Pelodiscus sinensis: one gene and its partner. The protein of the gene in region 2 purifies or fractionates together with the protein of the main gene of each other region. This does not show direct contact. Links are inferred from orthologs where the notes say so. Each region holds a gene or a part of one and is shown on either strand. Other genes may lie near its edges.

Region 1 (7,013 bases), on a different chromosome or scaffold from region 2:
ACCCCAAGATCTCCCATGATACCACTGGGCCTGTGAGATCAGAATGAAGACAGTTGCACAAATACACCAACTGACTCTGCTCCCCAGACTACCACTCAAGGCAAAGGGCATCCGAGAGAAACTGCCAACACATCACTCTGATCCTGAACTGTTCTGATGCAACTGGGCCAAGAGATGGATCCAGCTACCATCACCACCTCCACCGGCTCTGGTTGACTCCCGAAAAACTGGGTCTGTGAAACTTTTTTGCCCTCCTCCCAGCTCGTGTGTCCCTTTCCTTTCCCACCTTATTTCTTCTTTTTCCTCCTCCTCTCCTTTTGCCATCTGTCTAATCAGAGTCTGGCTCAACGGGCCAAGAATGTACACTTGGCAATTCTGTTCTAAGCTGCCACTGGCAGCATGGTCCTAACCAGCCCAACCCTTGCACAAGCTTGACAGGGTTTCAGAGTGACCAGCTGGGCCTGTAACATAAGAATGGACAGTCTCAGTCAGATCAAAGGTCCATCTAGCCCAGTGGTGTGTAACCTTTTTTCATTTGCAACCCCCGCGCTGCAGGGGCCGCCAACAGCCAGGCCCAGCTCCCAGCCAGCCAGATCAAAGTGCTGCGCCATGTGGCTGCCAACAGCCGGGCCCAGCCCCCGGCCAGCCGAATCAAAGCGCTGAGATCCCCCAGGAAGACAGCTGCGACCCCCTTGGAGGTCACAACCCACAGGTTGTGCACCACTGATCTAGCCAAGTATTCTGTCTTCCAACTGTGGCCAATGCCAGATGAGTCAGAGGGAATGAACAGAACAAGGAATCACCGATGTTCCCTCTTATTTTTTTCATCCATGTGTAGAATACCTTTTGTTATGTGCTCCCAAGATATGTGCGGATGTGCACGACCAGTAGAAACACATGCTGCCAGTTGTGGGCACTTTGCTGATTAATAGGACAACATTTGAATCTCTCCTGGGTGGCCATCCAAGTGCTCATCTTACAGAGAACGCTAGTAATCACCCAATGATCCCAATCCTGTCGCCCATTTCCACTTTCTGGCAAACAGAGACTAGGAACATCATCTCTGCTTGTCTTGATAAATAGCCATTGATGGACCTATATCCATGAATGTATCTAGTTCTTTTTTTAACCCTTTTATAGCCTTGGTCTTCACAGCATCCTCTGGCAAGGAGTTCTATAGGTTGACTGTGCTGTGTGAAGAAATGCTGCCTTTTGTTTGTTTAATTCCGGCTACAAGCAAGAAACATTTTCTCTCTTTGCTGACTTTCCCCCCACCCTCCTGTGTGTCTTTGTCTTGTTTTGATCTCACAGGAAATGAGATTGGACTGTAACAGCAGCAGCAACAGTGCCAGCCCAGCTCTATCTTCTGCACTTCCCTCCAAAAGGGCAGTTATTACCATCTTTAATCCCAGCTAAAAGACAGTCGGACAAGAGATTTGTCCGGCTAAAGGGACAGGGAACATGGGATGTCGGTAAAATTAAAACCTTACTTAATGCTCCACATTGCCAGTTTTTCAACTGCTTTCTGAGATCATGAATAAAGGGCATTTGCCTTGAGAATACATAGTCTGGGGTCTCCAGGCCCCCCCTAAACCTTCTTTGCAACTGCGTGGTGGACAGTTTTGGGGTCATGTTAACACCTTTGACTCTTCAGGGCTATTGAGTTCATCCATATTCCCAGTTCACGGTCCCTTGGGTCAGGCACCACACAAAGTAAGTAACAGTTTAACCACACAAAGGACTGGAGGGGAAAACTGTCAAAGCGCACGCAGCAGGTCAGGACAGAACCAGGAATTGGACTTAAAGGTCCTGACCCTCCCCTCCCCAGACTCCCTTCCCTCCCAAAGCCAGGAAGTCTTGGCTCCGAGCCCCCCTGCTCTAACCACTAGACCTCATAATATCCCCAATGCACATGCTACCGATGAGCTGCTCCCCTTCCTTCACACTCTTCCATCTTTGATCTGCTGCCAGATCAGTTGGAGAAGGGGACAGCCTGTAGAAGGAGAAGGGGGGGCTGCAGGTCTGGCATGAGGGGCACAGGCAGAGCTGGGGGGCTCTGATTGGGGATGGTGAGTAGTTTCCCCGCCCCCCACGGCTGAGCTGCCCTCTGTCGTTCTCCACCCAGCTTCACTGGTCTCAGCAGATTAATTCCCCTAATCCCCAGTGTGCGGGCCTCCAGGACAGCCTAAGGACAGCTGAGACTGAACAGGGCTTGGAAACTGCCCTGCCCCCTAAGCCAGCCCCCCAGAAGCCTCCAACCACCACAGACCCCAACCCTGCCCCACTGAGTCCTCCAGCCCCCAGAGACTCCTAACCCAGCCCTACAGACCTTTCTAGCCCCCAAGCCAGTTCCCTCTCCTGCATAACGACTTGTCCCTAACTCAGCCCCACAAAACCTCCAAAACCAGCCCCACAGACCCCTCCAGACCCACCCTGCTCTCCGAGCCCTATAGCCCCCTTCCTCTGTCCCACAGGTCCTGCAGCCCCGCTCCCATCCCAGCACCAGACCCACCTCAGCCGGTACCAGAGACCCAGCCAGACTCGCTGCCCAGCTGGTACCAGAACCGAGCCCAGGACATGCCAGGCCCTTGCCCAATCAGTACTGGATCCGTCTGTGCCAAGCGGACCAACGCCAGACCCCTGGGCTGCACCGGGCCACGCCAGAACCAGACCCCGAACCCACCGGATCAGAATGGCGGTGTCAGCACATCTCCCCGGGGCCATGTGTCACCTCACATTGCCCCCACCGCTCTCCCATCAGCTCACCCCCAGCTACGAATCCCCCCGCACCCTCCCCCTCCCCGACACTGGGTCTAACCGCCCCCCCGCGGTACCTTGCACCCGAACATCAGGGACAGGGTCCGGTTGCTGCAAATCACTTTGCACTGGCACATGACGGGGGGGAAGCAGCCCAGCTTCCTGAAGGGGGGGGACACGCCGTTCAGCCCCATGGCTCTCCCCAGCGCCCCCTATCGCCCCCTCCCCCCCACGCCCGTGCGGGGGGTGGGCCCCCCCCGCATCCCTCCTCCGGCCACCGGCCTCGAACCCTCCTGCCAGCCGGGACGCCGCGTCCTTGGAGTGATCTTCGCCCCCTCCGTCCGGCCGTCCGGCTGCCCCCTCCTTCCTCCGTCTCTCCCCTCCCCTCCTGCTCCATCCCTCCTCCTTCCTCCTCCTCCTCCCGCCCCTCCTTCAGCTCCATCGCTCCCCCTCCCGCTGCTTTCTCTCCCCTTGCCTCCAACTCCTCCCCCTGCTGCTCCATCCCTCCCCTTGCTTCCTCCTGCCTCCTCTCCTTTCCTCCCCATTTCACTTCTCCCCTCACTTCTTTCCTCTGTAGTGGGCAGCGGCTCCCACCTGGCCCCAGGGCAGGGACTGGCTGGGGCAGGAGGGCAGGGAATGAGGCATAGAGCCTTTCCCCTCTAGGGGGCACCGGCTCCCATCCATATGGACTCCAGGGTAAGGGGCAATTTTAAGGGGAATCCCAAATATTTAGGTGCCAGGAAGGCTCCAGATGCCCACACGCTAACTCGGGCCCAGGTATACACACCTGCACACACAAAGCCCAACACAATATACCGCCACCCTGAGATACTCCCACACACAACACATGCACAGACCCCTCCCAACACATCCCTCCTTCCGCGGAGTAGGGCACACAACACCTCCAAGAAGCAGGCTCCTGGAGTTGCATCTAAGGATGCCTGCTCCATCTGATGCTATGCCCCCACAGTTGAGAACCGATGGGTGCTGATCATGGCACCATACTATGCCCCAAAGTGTGGGGTCCTCTCCCAGTTCTCTCCGGCCATAGAATTAGCTGTACATGGCAATGGTGAGTTAATTCCCTGATTACAGAAGGAAATTGCCAGCTGTCACCGTCTATGTGGACACTCTTTGGAAATTCTTCTGCTTTGGAAGTGAATTGCACTAATCCGAATTAATGGGAATGTTGTCCACACAGGCATGTCTTAATTCAGATTAAATGCAAGCCTTTTAAAAACCAGCAACCTTTGAGTCCATCATCACCATTCCCTAGAACCTGAGCCAAAGAAACTATTCCACCAACAGAGACCACCTAATGCAGGGCTACTCAACTTTGGAGGGCCACAATTTAAGTGTGGTTACATATACATGCAAATTTATATGCAAATATATGCAAATATCTTATTTCACACTGATGAGCATGAATACAAAGATTAAGGCAAAATTACACAACATGCAGTCCCCATTTAAGTCAGTTCTGCTGTATTAATCAAATGCAATAGTTACCCAATTTCCATCCATATGACAACATTTTTAATGAGCAATGACAGTCTAGGAATTTAACTACTGAACGCATATCAACTGACGACCGTTATTATTGACTTGCCATTATGGAGCATGTTCCCAATGGAGGCCATGTTCAAAGGATTCCACCCATGGGCACGTGTTGAGTAGTCCTGACCTAATGCATGATGGAGCCACTTCAGGGAAACAAAACTACACCTTGGTTTAGGGCTGCTCACCACTTCTCCTTCCCCCCTACTAAATTCACCAGTCTAATCCACAATTACGTCTGTTTGGTCCCTTAAAGAGGGGGGTAGCCAAAAGAATCTATTTTGTTAACTGGCTATATCAATTAATTCATTAAATTAATGAAAAATTAATCCAGATTAGTAAAAGGTGGGAAAGAAATCCAGATTACTGGAAATAAGTATTTATTCCAAATGAACGGACATTAGACATTTACTCTGGATTCATGGAAGGTGGGAATTTAATTCAAATTATGAGCAGGTGGGAATTGAATCCATATGAATGGAAAGGTGGAAGTAAATCCAGATTAATAGAGAGTGGGAGATGACTCCAGATTAACTGATTGTGGGGCCTTAATCTGGATTATTAAATGATGATAAATGAGATCTAATTATCAGTGGGTGGGAATTGAATCCATATGAACAGAAAGTGGATACTGAATCGTTCAGAATGTCATAACTGAATGCAGATTAAAGGAAGAGTGGAATTTAATCCAGATTAATGGAAAGTGTGGAGTGAATCTGGATCAACAGCAACTGGGGAATTAACCCATATTAACAAAAAATGAGAAAATAATATGGATTATCAGAAGGTTTGAATTTAATCTGGACTAAAACCTGCCCATATGGACAACATTTCCATTATTTGGATTAGTACAATTCACTTCCAAAGCAGAAGAATTTCCAAGTAGTGTCCACATACACAGTGACGACAGGCAATTTCCTCCTGTAATCAGCGAGTTAACACAACATTGCCACGTACAGCTCCTAGCGCAACTGAGCCCTGGTGTGTGAAATTTCCAAAGCTACCATGCCAGAATCAAGAAATCATAATCCTGCAATGGGGGAAGTGGTCTATATGGCCTATCTTGACTTTAGTAAGGCTTTTGATACCATCTTACATGACTGTCTCATAAACAAATGAGGAAAATACAAGCTAATAGAAAGTGGATGAAGAACTGTTTGCAAAACTGATCCCTGAGAGAAGTTATCAATGGGTCATGGTCACACTGGAAAGGCATAACAAGTGGGGTTCTACAGGGAGCAGTTCTGAGTCCAGTTCTGTTCAGTAACTTAATCCATGATTTAAATAATGGCACAGAGAAGACAAAAACTTTGTGGATAATTCCATCTGGGAGGGGTTGCAAGGATTAAAACTCAAAATGATCTGGATTCTGGACAAACTAGAGAAATTGTCCCAGGTAACTAGGATGAAATTCAGTAAAGGCAAATGCAAAGTGTTCCACTTAGGAACAATCAGTTGCACACATACAGAATGGGAAATGATTGATTTGGAAGGAGCACTGTGGAAAGGGATCTTGGGGCCATAATGAACCATAAGCTAAATATGTCAACAGTATGACCGTGTTGCTTTAAAAGAGAGAGAGAGAGAGAGAGAGAGAGAGAGAGCAAACATGATTCTGGGATGCACTAACAGGAGTGTTGTGAGCAAGACTAGAGTTGCCAGGTGTCCAGTTTTCAACCAGACAGTCCAGTATTTGAGCTCTCTGTTTGGAAACAAATTGAGAACATAGAAATGAGAAAATATAAATGTCCGGTATTTTCTAAATAAGATGTAATGTAGATTGTGATGTAATGACAAGTGTGTCCGGTATTTCTGTTGAAACCATCTGGCAACCCTAAGCAAGACACGAGAAGTCATTTTTCCGCACTACTCTGCACTGATTAGGCCTCAGTTGGAGTATTGTGTCCAGTTCTGGGCACCACATTTCAGGAATGATGTGGAGAAATTGGAGAAACACTGGAGAAGAACAAAAATGATGAAAGATCAACAAAACATAACCTATGAACAGTGTTCCCTCTAAGCTGTGCAGCAGCCCAGTTTAACAGGTGATTAATCAACCCTGCCTAGTCAGAGGCCCAGGGCTCAGTGCATGGAGCTGACTGAGTCACCTGAAGGGAACACTGACTATGAGGGAAGATGAACAAATTTGGATTTGATTAGTCTGGAGAAGAGAAGATAGAGAGAGGACATGATAACAGTTTTCAAGTCCATAAAAGGTTGTTACAAGAAGGAGGGAGAAAAATTGTTCTCAACATCTGATGATAGGACAAGGAGCAATGGGCTTAAATTGCAGCAAGGGAGGTTTAGGTTGGATGTTAAGAAAAACTTCCTGTCAGATTGGTTAAGCACTGGAATAAATTGCCACCAGAGGTTGCGAAATCTCCATCATTGGTGGTTTTTAAGAGCAGGTTAGACACACACCTGTCAGGGATGGCCTAGATTGTGCTTGGTCCTACCATAAATGCAGGAGACTGGACCAGATCAGTGTTTCTCAACCAGTGGTACAAATACCCTTAGGGGTACTCGAGAGAAGCCTGGGGGGTACGTCAACACAATTGAAACTTGGAGAAAACTGAATTTTTCTTTTTAAGTTTTACAGTGCTTTATTATTTCTGTATGTTTTACACCCAGAAATTTCATCGCCCGCCTGGCTACGGTTAAGTTGTTTAAACAAATGTGTTGCAACAGTAGAAAAAAAT
Region 2 (7,792 bases):
AAGTTGGGTGTCACACCTGCTGGGTCTGGTCTCTTTCAGCTGTTGGCCCTTCCTCACCTGACCATATGGAACACCAGTTTTGACATCCATAGAATCCTAGAGCTGTAGGGCTGGAAAGGGGTGAAGAGGTCATTGGGGCCAGCCTCCTGCATTGAGACAACTAGAATATCCCTGACAGGTGTTTGTCCAGACTGGTGTGAAAACACCTCCAGTGACAGGGACTTCATCATAGATTGCCACCTTCCTCTCATAGCCTGCTGCCCGTTTGAGAGGGTGATAGCATAATCCACTTTTAATCATGTGAACAAAAATTGCTCAATGGGATTTCAAGAGAAAATCCCAAAGGTAAATTCATATACCCAGTCCCATCTGCTTTACACCTTAGAAAATAGCAGGTAAAGAGGAAAGCTATTCTCTTTCCAACCTCCCAGCAAGGCCAGGGCACTTCATCGGGGGCCCATCCATTTTAGCGCCCATGTTAGCACTGCTCCCTATGGATTGGAAGGGGGTGGCTTTCTTTGTCACATGTCACCCATTCAAATACATTTCGGACCAAATCCTGCTCTCTGTGCACACTGAAGTCAATATCATCTCATTGACGTCAGTGAGGCTGCTCAGCTAAATAAATCCAGTGGGACTGGGCTCCATCAGGATAGAGAGGCACAGTTTTTGTGCTGCTATATCTGACTGTTCAGTCAATACAACCCTAGTGTGGATGCAGCTGCACCAGTATAAAAGTGTCTTGCTTTGGTAAATGGCCAGGAATGAGCTATACCAATGTAAGCACCTTTACACCATGATAATTGTACCCATGCTGGGTGGAGGGTGTTGCAATGATCTAATTACATCAGTTTCTCCGTAGATACTGCAGCACAAAAACAGTGCATAGACCAGCCCTTAGATAGACGTCTCTTCTACTAGCCATTTGGGTCATTCATCACCAATGCTTCCTGAATATGCTAAAATAGAATCCTCTAACTGGGACATCAAGCCATGGCTGTCACCTCCTACTTCCGCCAAGTGATGTGGGGAATGGATGGACAGAACCCTGCATGGATACAAAATTTGTATCTGCATCTATATCCGTAAAAAAATGAGTTGTGGCTATCCACAGATTTGCAGGGATGGAGTCTGGTAATCATAGAATCCTAGGGCTGGAAGAGCCCTCAGGAGGTCATCAAGTCCAGCGCCCTGCCCAAGGCAGGACCAATCCCAACTAAATCAACCCAGCCAGGGCTTTGTCAAGCTGAGACTTAAACACCTCTAGGGATGGAGATTCCACCACCTCCCTAGGTAACCCATTCCAGTGCTTCACCACCCTCCTAGGGAAATAGTTTTTCCTAATATCCAACCTAGACCTCCCCCACTGTAACTTGAGACCATTGCTCCTTGCTCTGCCATCCGTCACTACTATGAACAGCCTCTCTCCATCCTCTTTGGAACCTCCCTTCAGGAAGTTGAAGGCTGCTATCAAATCCCCCCTCACTCTTCTCTTCTGCAGACTAAATAAGCCCAAACCCCTCAGTCTCTCCTCGTAGGTCATGTGCTCCAACCCCCTAATCATTTTGGTTGCCCTCCACTGGACCCTCTCCAATGTGTATAATGGAATATGGTAATGGACTCTGGTCCCTAGCAGAAGGACCTCCTCTGGAATTTGCCCACTGCGGAGAATGTGTTGTCCAATATAAACAGGAGGGACCCCCAGGGCAGGAGGTGGCAGCAGGAGTTCACATGAAACATGTCTGGTCCACCCACACTTGCTGACAAAACACACTGTAGTGATGGGTGCACACAAAGAGAGACAGAGATTAGATTGGGCAGAGACTTTCCCCGGTATTTTGTTCGCTGCTTCCTCAGCTTCAAAGAAACTCAAGAGTTTGAAGCTGCTTTAAACACTGCTTTCTGGGGCTTCATTTCTGCCAATCAGATCAGCAACACAGACAATCAGTGACCTAGAAGAGGCTGGACAGAGGACTGTGGGAATATCGATTATCAATTCGGACAATCTTCACAGAGAGCGAACCAGCATGTTTGTTTCAACCCTGATGTGCCCGAGTCTTTGAGCACATGCCCAAGGAATCCAGCACCTCAACATCTTCAGGCTGTATTAGGGAAATGGGTTAGAAAGGCACACAAGACGTGAAGGGTGCCAGCAATTGGGGGGCAAGAGATGTAGGGAAAACAATCCCCTTGTAAACGGGAGCAGCCAACAAATTATTTGTGGCTAACAATAAAAAGTCAAATAAACATAACCAAAGTTGACATTCCAGGTCAAAAAAAGGAGGGAAAGTTAAGGAGCTTTAACTATATATCTGTATATATACATATACTTGCACATGTGTTTGCATGTGTATATATGTATATCTTTAAATACATATACTTTTTATATATATATATATATATACACACACACACACACACACACACACATTTACACTTTATTTTATATATACACTCTCACAGTTTTTATATATATACATATTTACATATGCACATACCCACACGCACATATATGCAGCCATATATACATGTATATATACACACATAGTTATATGTATTATATATATTTTCATAGATAATTCTTATGTAATTATGCATAATCATCATAACAAACATCCAAGAAAAATTATAATGAGGCTAATAACCATAATAATTTCTTACCCAGGTTCTGTGTTATTCCCTGTTTGAGTCCTGGAAAGCCAAAAGTCAGGGGACGGGAAAAGAGGGAGATTTCTCCATCCCACCATGAAACCTGAGCCTGGATTTAAGAAATCCAGGGGTCTCTCTCCTTTTAGTCTTGCTTTCTGTCTCTTCTCCTGTCTGTTTTTCAAGTAGCTACTTTTTCCTCCTAAGAATTCCCTCTGCCGTGCTCTAACTTTCCTTCATCTCTATTGCCTTCCCTTTCCTGCACTTTGTATCTCCCTCTTTCTTTTTAGCATTTTTTGCTTTGAGGAATTTCCATCCTTCATGAGCTTTATTTCTCTGCAGCTGAGCAATGACTTATTGGACCGATTTCTCCCTTCTGTCTGTTTATCTCCCTCTTTCTCTTTTTTTGTCTGGTTGTCTCTTTCCCCGCCTCTCCACCTCATCCCGCCCCCCCCCCCCCCCTCAGTTTGTCTCTATTTTACCATCCCTCTATCGCCTTTTTCTCCACTCTCCTTCCTCCCTCTCACTTTCTCTCGCTCTCTCTCCGATTGCTGTGCAGTCGGTAGCTAAGAAGTCAGTAACTCTCTGGTAGAATCCAACAGCTTTCTGCTACTTTAGCCCATCCTCACATGTGATCTCAGAGCCTTGGATACACCCTGCAGAGGCAGAGATGGGGAGAGCTGAAAGTGCAACCCAAAGCAATGGAAACGGGAATGGGAACACATGCAGCTGGCGCTCAGATGCCCCAGGCATGTTTGCATGGAGCACAGTGGCCTGCAGAGGCTTGCCACATATTCTGTACCAGAAAGCATAGAAATCCAGGTCCTTTTTTTCCTTCTTCCCAGATGCGGCACCGAGCATCCACTCCAGGGATCTGATCTCCCTCTAATTCACCCGCTAGCGCACTCTTCCAGAACTTTCTCCAACGGTGCCGTGTGTCATCGCTGTTTTTGCTTGTCACTGGATTTGAAGCAGTTCCCAGGACTGGGTGATTCTACTATAGATTTACAAAGAGGATCTTTCCAGGGTCCTTCCCTGTGGGCCTTCTGAGGTTCCCTGTGGCATTATTTCAGAGCCTGCTGTGCTCTTCATGTTCCTCACCTGCTGAAAGATTCAGCCAGGAAAACACGCTCTGGGTCTCACCTCTCAGCAGTGACTGACTATTGTTCACAGGGCTGCTCCTCTAGCAGGAACAGGGGCTTCTTTGTCAGAGGAAAGCACAGGGGGTGCAATTAGAACAAGGTACAGGTAACAGGGCTCTCCCTTCAGCTATTCCTTAGGTGCCTGACCTTTGGGTTTCAGGACCAATCATTGGGCAATTATGGGTTCAATGGATTTCCTCATCCACAGGTTTCTAGACCCTTTCAGAACATGGCTCACATCCTAATCATCAAACATGGCCTTGAGGCCACCTCTCCTCCCATGCGTGATACCACCTCTCCTCCCACTGGCAATCAAACACCATCCCCGTGGCAGCCACAGCAAACATTTCCATGGCACAGCAATATAGGGAAAGATGTGTTTTTAGCTTCTTTCTGTGCAGTTTCACAACTGCCAAGGAGAAGAGCCAGCATCCTGCAACCAGCTTGCTCTTGGCAGACCACCCGCAAGGGCTCCCCAGAGCACAGTTTGCTTAGCCCTGGCATGGGAGACCTCCAGGGCAGGTCAAGTGATCCAGGAGCTGGCATCTGTGAGTCGGGAGGCGTGCTCTTCCCTCTGAGTCAGTACTGAATTCGTACCAGCAGAGAGCTGAGAGCCCTCTAATGAGACATTATTGGCTATGTCTGCACTGCAGAGTTTTTTTGGAAAAACAGACATTTTTCTGAAAAAAAACTTCACTTACATCCACACTGCAGTTGCGTTCTTTCGAAAAAAATCAAAAGAACAGAGGGGTTTTTCTGACATTGGTAAACCTCTTTCTACAAGGAAGAAGCCTTTTTGTGAAAGAGCTCTTTTGGAAAAAGGTGTCTGTGGACGGGGAAGAGGGAATTCTTTCAGAAGAAGAGGAAAGAGCAAAAAGCACAGATGCCCTGGTGGCCATTCCGCCCATAGCAATCACAGCTTACATGTGAGAGAGTGTCCATTCAGTCTGGACGCTCTGTTTCAAAAAAGCAGATGGCTTTTTCGATGCACTTTTGCAGTGTGGACGGTCTCTTTCAGAAGAAGTTTTTTTGGAAGATCTCTTCCAGAAAAGCTACTTCTGAAAGAAGCCTGTAGTCTAGACATAGCCATACTGTTAAACCATTATTTGTAGCCATAAATGCCCCATAACTCTTTCCCTAAGAGCTATAGGTGCTGTCATACAGAAACGCAGGGTATGTCTACACTACATGGCTCCATCGACGGAGCCACGTAGAAGAGCTTTGTAGACATAGAAAAATGAAGCGGCTATTTAAATAATCGCCGCTTCATTTACATCAAAATGGCTGCCGCGTTGTGCCGATCAGCTATTTGTCGGCACAGCGTGGTAGTCTGGACGCTCCGCAGTCAACATCAAAAGCCTTTGTCGACCGCCCCGGTAAACCTCATCCCACGAGGCATAATGGGGCGGTCGACAAAGGTTTTTGATATTGACTGTGGAGCGTCCAGACTACCGTGCTGTGCCGATAAACAGCTGATGGGCACAGCGCGGCAGCCATTTTGATGTAAATGAAGTGGCGATTATTTAAATCGCCACTTCATTTTGCTATGTCTACAAAGCTCTTCTACGTGGTTCCGTCGACGGAGCCATGTAGTGTAGACATACCCTGAGCCACTCGCACTGGACAGGGAAAGATGGAAGGAAATAGTGAGGGAGGCATCGGACACCAATGGGCATTGAGCCCCTGCTAGTTGTTGATGATGATAGTCCAACTCCTGTTTGGGTATTTGAACTCTTGCTGCCTAATAGCCCCTCTGTAGCTTCAGTCATAGATGGTTGTTTCCTGACTTCTGAAAAGTGTGTTGTGGTGCACTGTCAAGGCAGCTCTGCTTCAGGGGTTCCAGCATAGGTGATAAAGTACTTTGGGAACCTTCAGCGCTAAAGGCACTGAACACATGAATTATTTCGATGATCAGACCCTGTCTTCACTCATAACTCTACATATGCTACTTTCACAGCCAGGAATGCTGGATGGGTGTGAACTGGAACAAGATTCAGGAGCTCTTGGCTCTGCCACAAATTCCCTGTGTCACCTCAGGCAAGTCACTTCACCTCGCTGTGTCTCAATATCCCATTTCTAATATGAGGACAATTCTTCCCAGACTCTCGGGAGGGGGTAAGAGGATAAAACCTTTAGCACTCATCAGGTGCTCAGCTCCTACAGTGATGGGGGCCTGACAAAAAATTCCAATAGACTGAGAAAGCAATATTCTTATTTTTAAGGGGGGAAAAGATGAGTTCTCTGTGACACGTTGTTCTCCCCTTCCCTGGGCACGACTCCCCCCAAAATGCTGTCATTGCCAATCTGACCTCGGCCACAGTGAGGAACAGTGAGTAAAGAAAGGACAAGACATGAAGCACCAACTCTTCCCCCTCATCTCCCAAACAAGCAGCTGATTGTGCCTCCTCTACAGATATAGCATGGCAGGACTGGTGGACCATTGCCAGCAGGGGCTGTTGTGTGTGTGTGTGTGTTTCCTATAGCAAACTTCACTGACCCACAATGGAGACCATCTTCATATAAATACACCTGTTTCTCTCTCACCCTCTTCAGCCAGGGTCAGCTGTACCCCGCATTGCCAGCTGCAAACTGCTGGGTGAGGGAGTAGATGGCTAACTCTCTCCATCCCCGCCGCTCTCCCCTAGCCACTTTCTTTAATAAGCAGCATAGAATATTTTAGCACCTATGGAAAAACCACCACAGACGGTGGTGGCAGCCGTTGCTAGGGAGATGCTCCCAAAAATAGCCCCACTCCGCCAACCTTTCCTGCTGCTGCTGTGGGGATGGGGGAAGTGAAGTGAAGGGAGGGAGAAAAGGAGGGAGGACTCAGCTCCCTGGAATGTGAGTTAACATAAGGCCTGGGCCAAACTGAAGTTAACAGCCGCACTTGCCCAAGTGGCCTCTGATTTTGGGTGCTGTGATCAGGCTCCTCTGTGGCCATGTCAGCCTCTGGCAGAGGTATGTGGTTGGAGTATATTTCTCCTCCCTATAGAGGAACAGCCCTCCACCTTTTCTCCCTGCTACTCCATCCCTCTTGTCACTTGTGGGGTTTTTTCTCCATCTGCTCCCTCTAGCACCAGAAGAGGGTTTATTAAAGGTGGCCCTGAACTGGAGTCAGGTGTCTCTAATTAACCTGAAGTAACCTCTTTTCAATTCACAGGGGGAAGGGCCGTGACCATTGTAGGACAGATACACCTGCGTTCACTTACAACTGGCCTGAGTTTGTCACATCTTGACCCCTACCCCTGTGCTCTGGCTCAATATTATGGGCTGCATGGACCAGGAAACAGCATACTTCTGGCAGGCTATCAGCATTGCTCTGCCTGATTCCTGTCCTGCCGCACCTTGATGTGGGAGGTTGTCACAACAGACCCATTTTGTTTCTCTTCCATTTTTTAAATTTGTTCTAGCGCCTGCACTTCAGGGCAGAATGGTCTGTAATGAGGGTAAATATCTATCCGAGCAGGTAGTTCCACAGAATTTCCATGACCCACTTTATCCTAAGATAGCCTTCTCCAACATGCCATACTTTTGTTCTCAGGGAAAGCGTTTTCTACTAATGTACACTCTATCTGAGTCTCTAGCCTTTTTGAGATTGATCAGAGAGCATGCCCTGGTGGCAAAGTGGTGAATGAATGACCTGCAATAAGTATCCTATTATCCCCAGAAACGTTCTCACCTCTTTCTTCCTGAATGGTCAAGGCCAACTTTGTATTGCCTCTAACTTGTTCAGTTTCACTATACCTCTCCCCAAGATCGTATTTGGTTTCCACTACCAATATTGCATATTTAGATGGGTTAGTGGTGAAACCGGGGCTACCTCTAGATTGTGTGTCTTTTTTCTGTTTAATTTTAAAAGAGGCTTTTTCGAAATTTGGCACATTTACATGGAGCCAAATTTAGAAAAAAAGTGTTCTTTTGAGCCATCCCTTATTCCTTGTAGAATGAGGTTTACAAGGATGGCGAAAAAGCACATCCATTCTTTCAGAATTTTTTTTTAAAAA

What was found. The genes of interacting proteins can lie anywhere in the genome.
Region 1: the proteins of inward rectifier potassium channel 4 (region 2) and DLG4 purify together in Homo sapiens (affinity purification with western blotting, with the first as the bait; 3 studies listed by BioGRID). This does not show direct contact. The link is inferred for Pelodiscus sinensis from reciprocal best matches to the Homo sapiens genes KCNJ4 and DLG4.

The regions. Positions count from the first base shown.
Region 1 is NC_134734.1:9,523,753-9,530,765, forward strand, and holds the start of DLG4 (disks large homolog 4), read right to left. Parts: upstream 3,084-7,013; 5' UTR 2,952-3,083; coding exon 2,835-2,951; intron 1-2,834. UniProt on the Homo sapiens protein: Postsynaptic scaffolding protein that plays a critical role in synaptogenesis and synaptic plasticity by providing a platform for the postsynaptic clustering of crucial synaptic proteins.
Region 2 is NC_134711.1:91,788,292-91,796,083, reverse strand, and holds the start of inward rectifier potassium channel 4, read right to left. Parts: upstream 3,053-7,792; 5' UTR 2,662-3,052; intron 1-2,661. UniProt on the Homo sapiens protein: Inward rectifier potassium channels are characterized by a greater tendency to allow potassium to flow into the cell rather than out of it.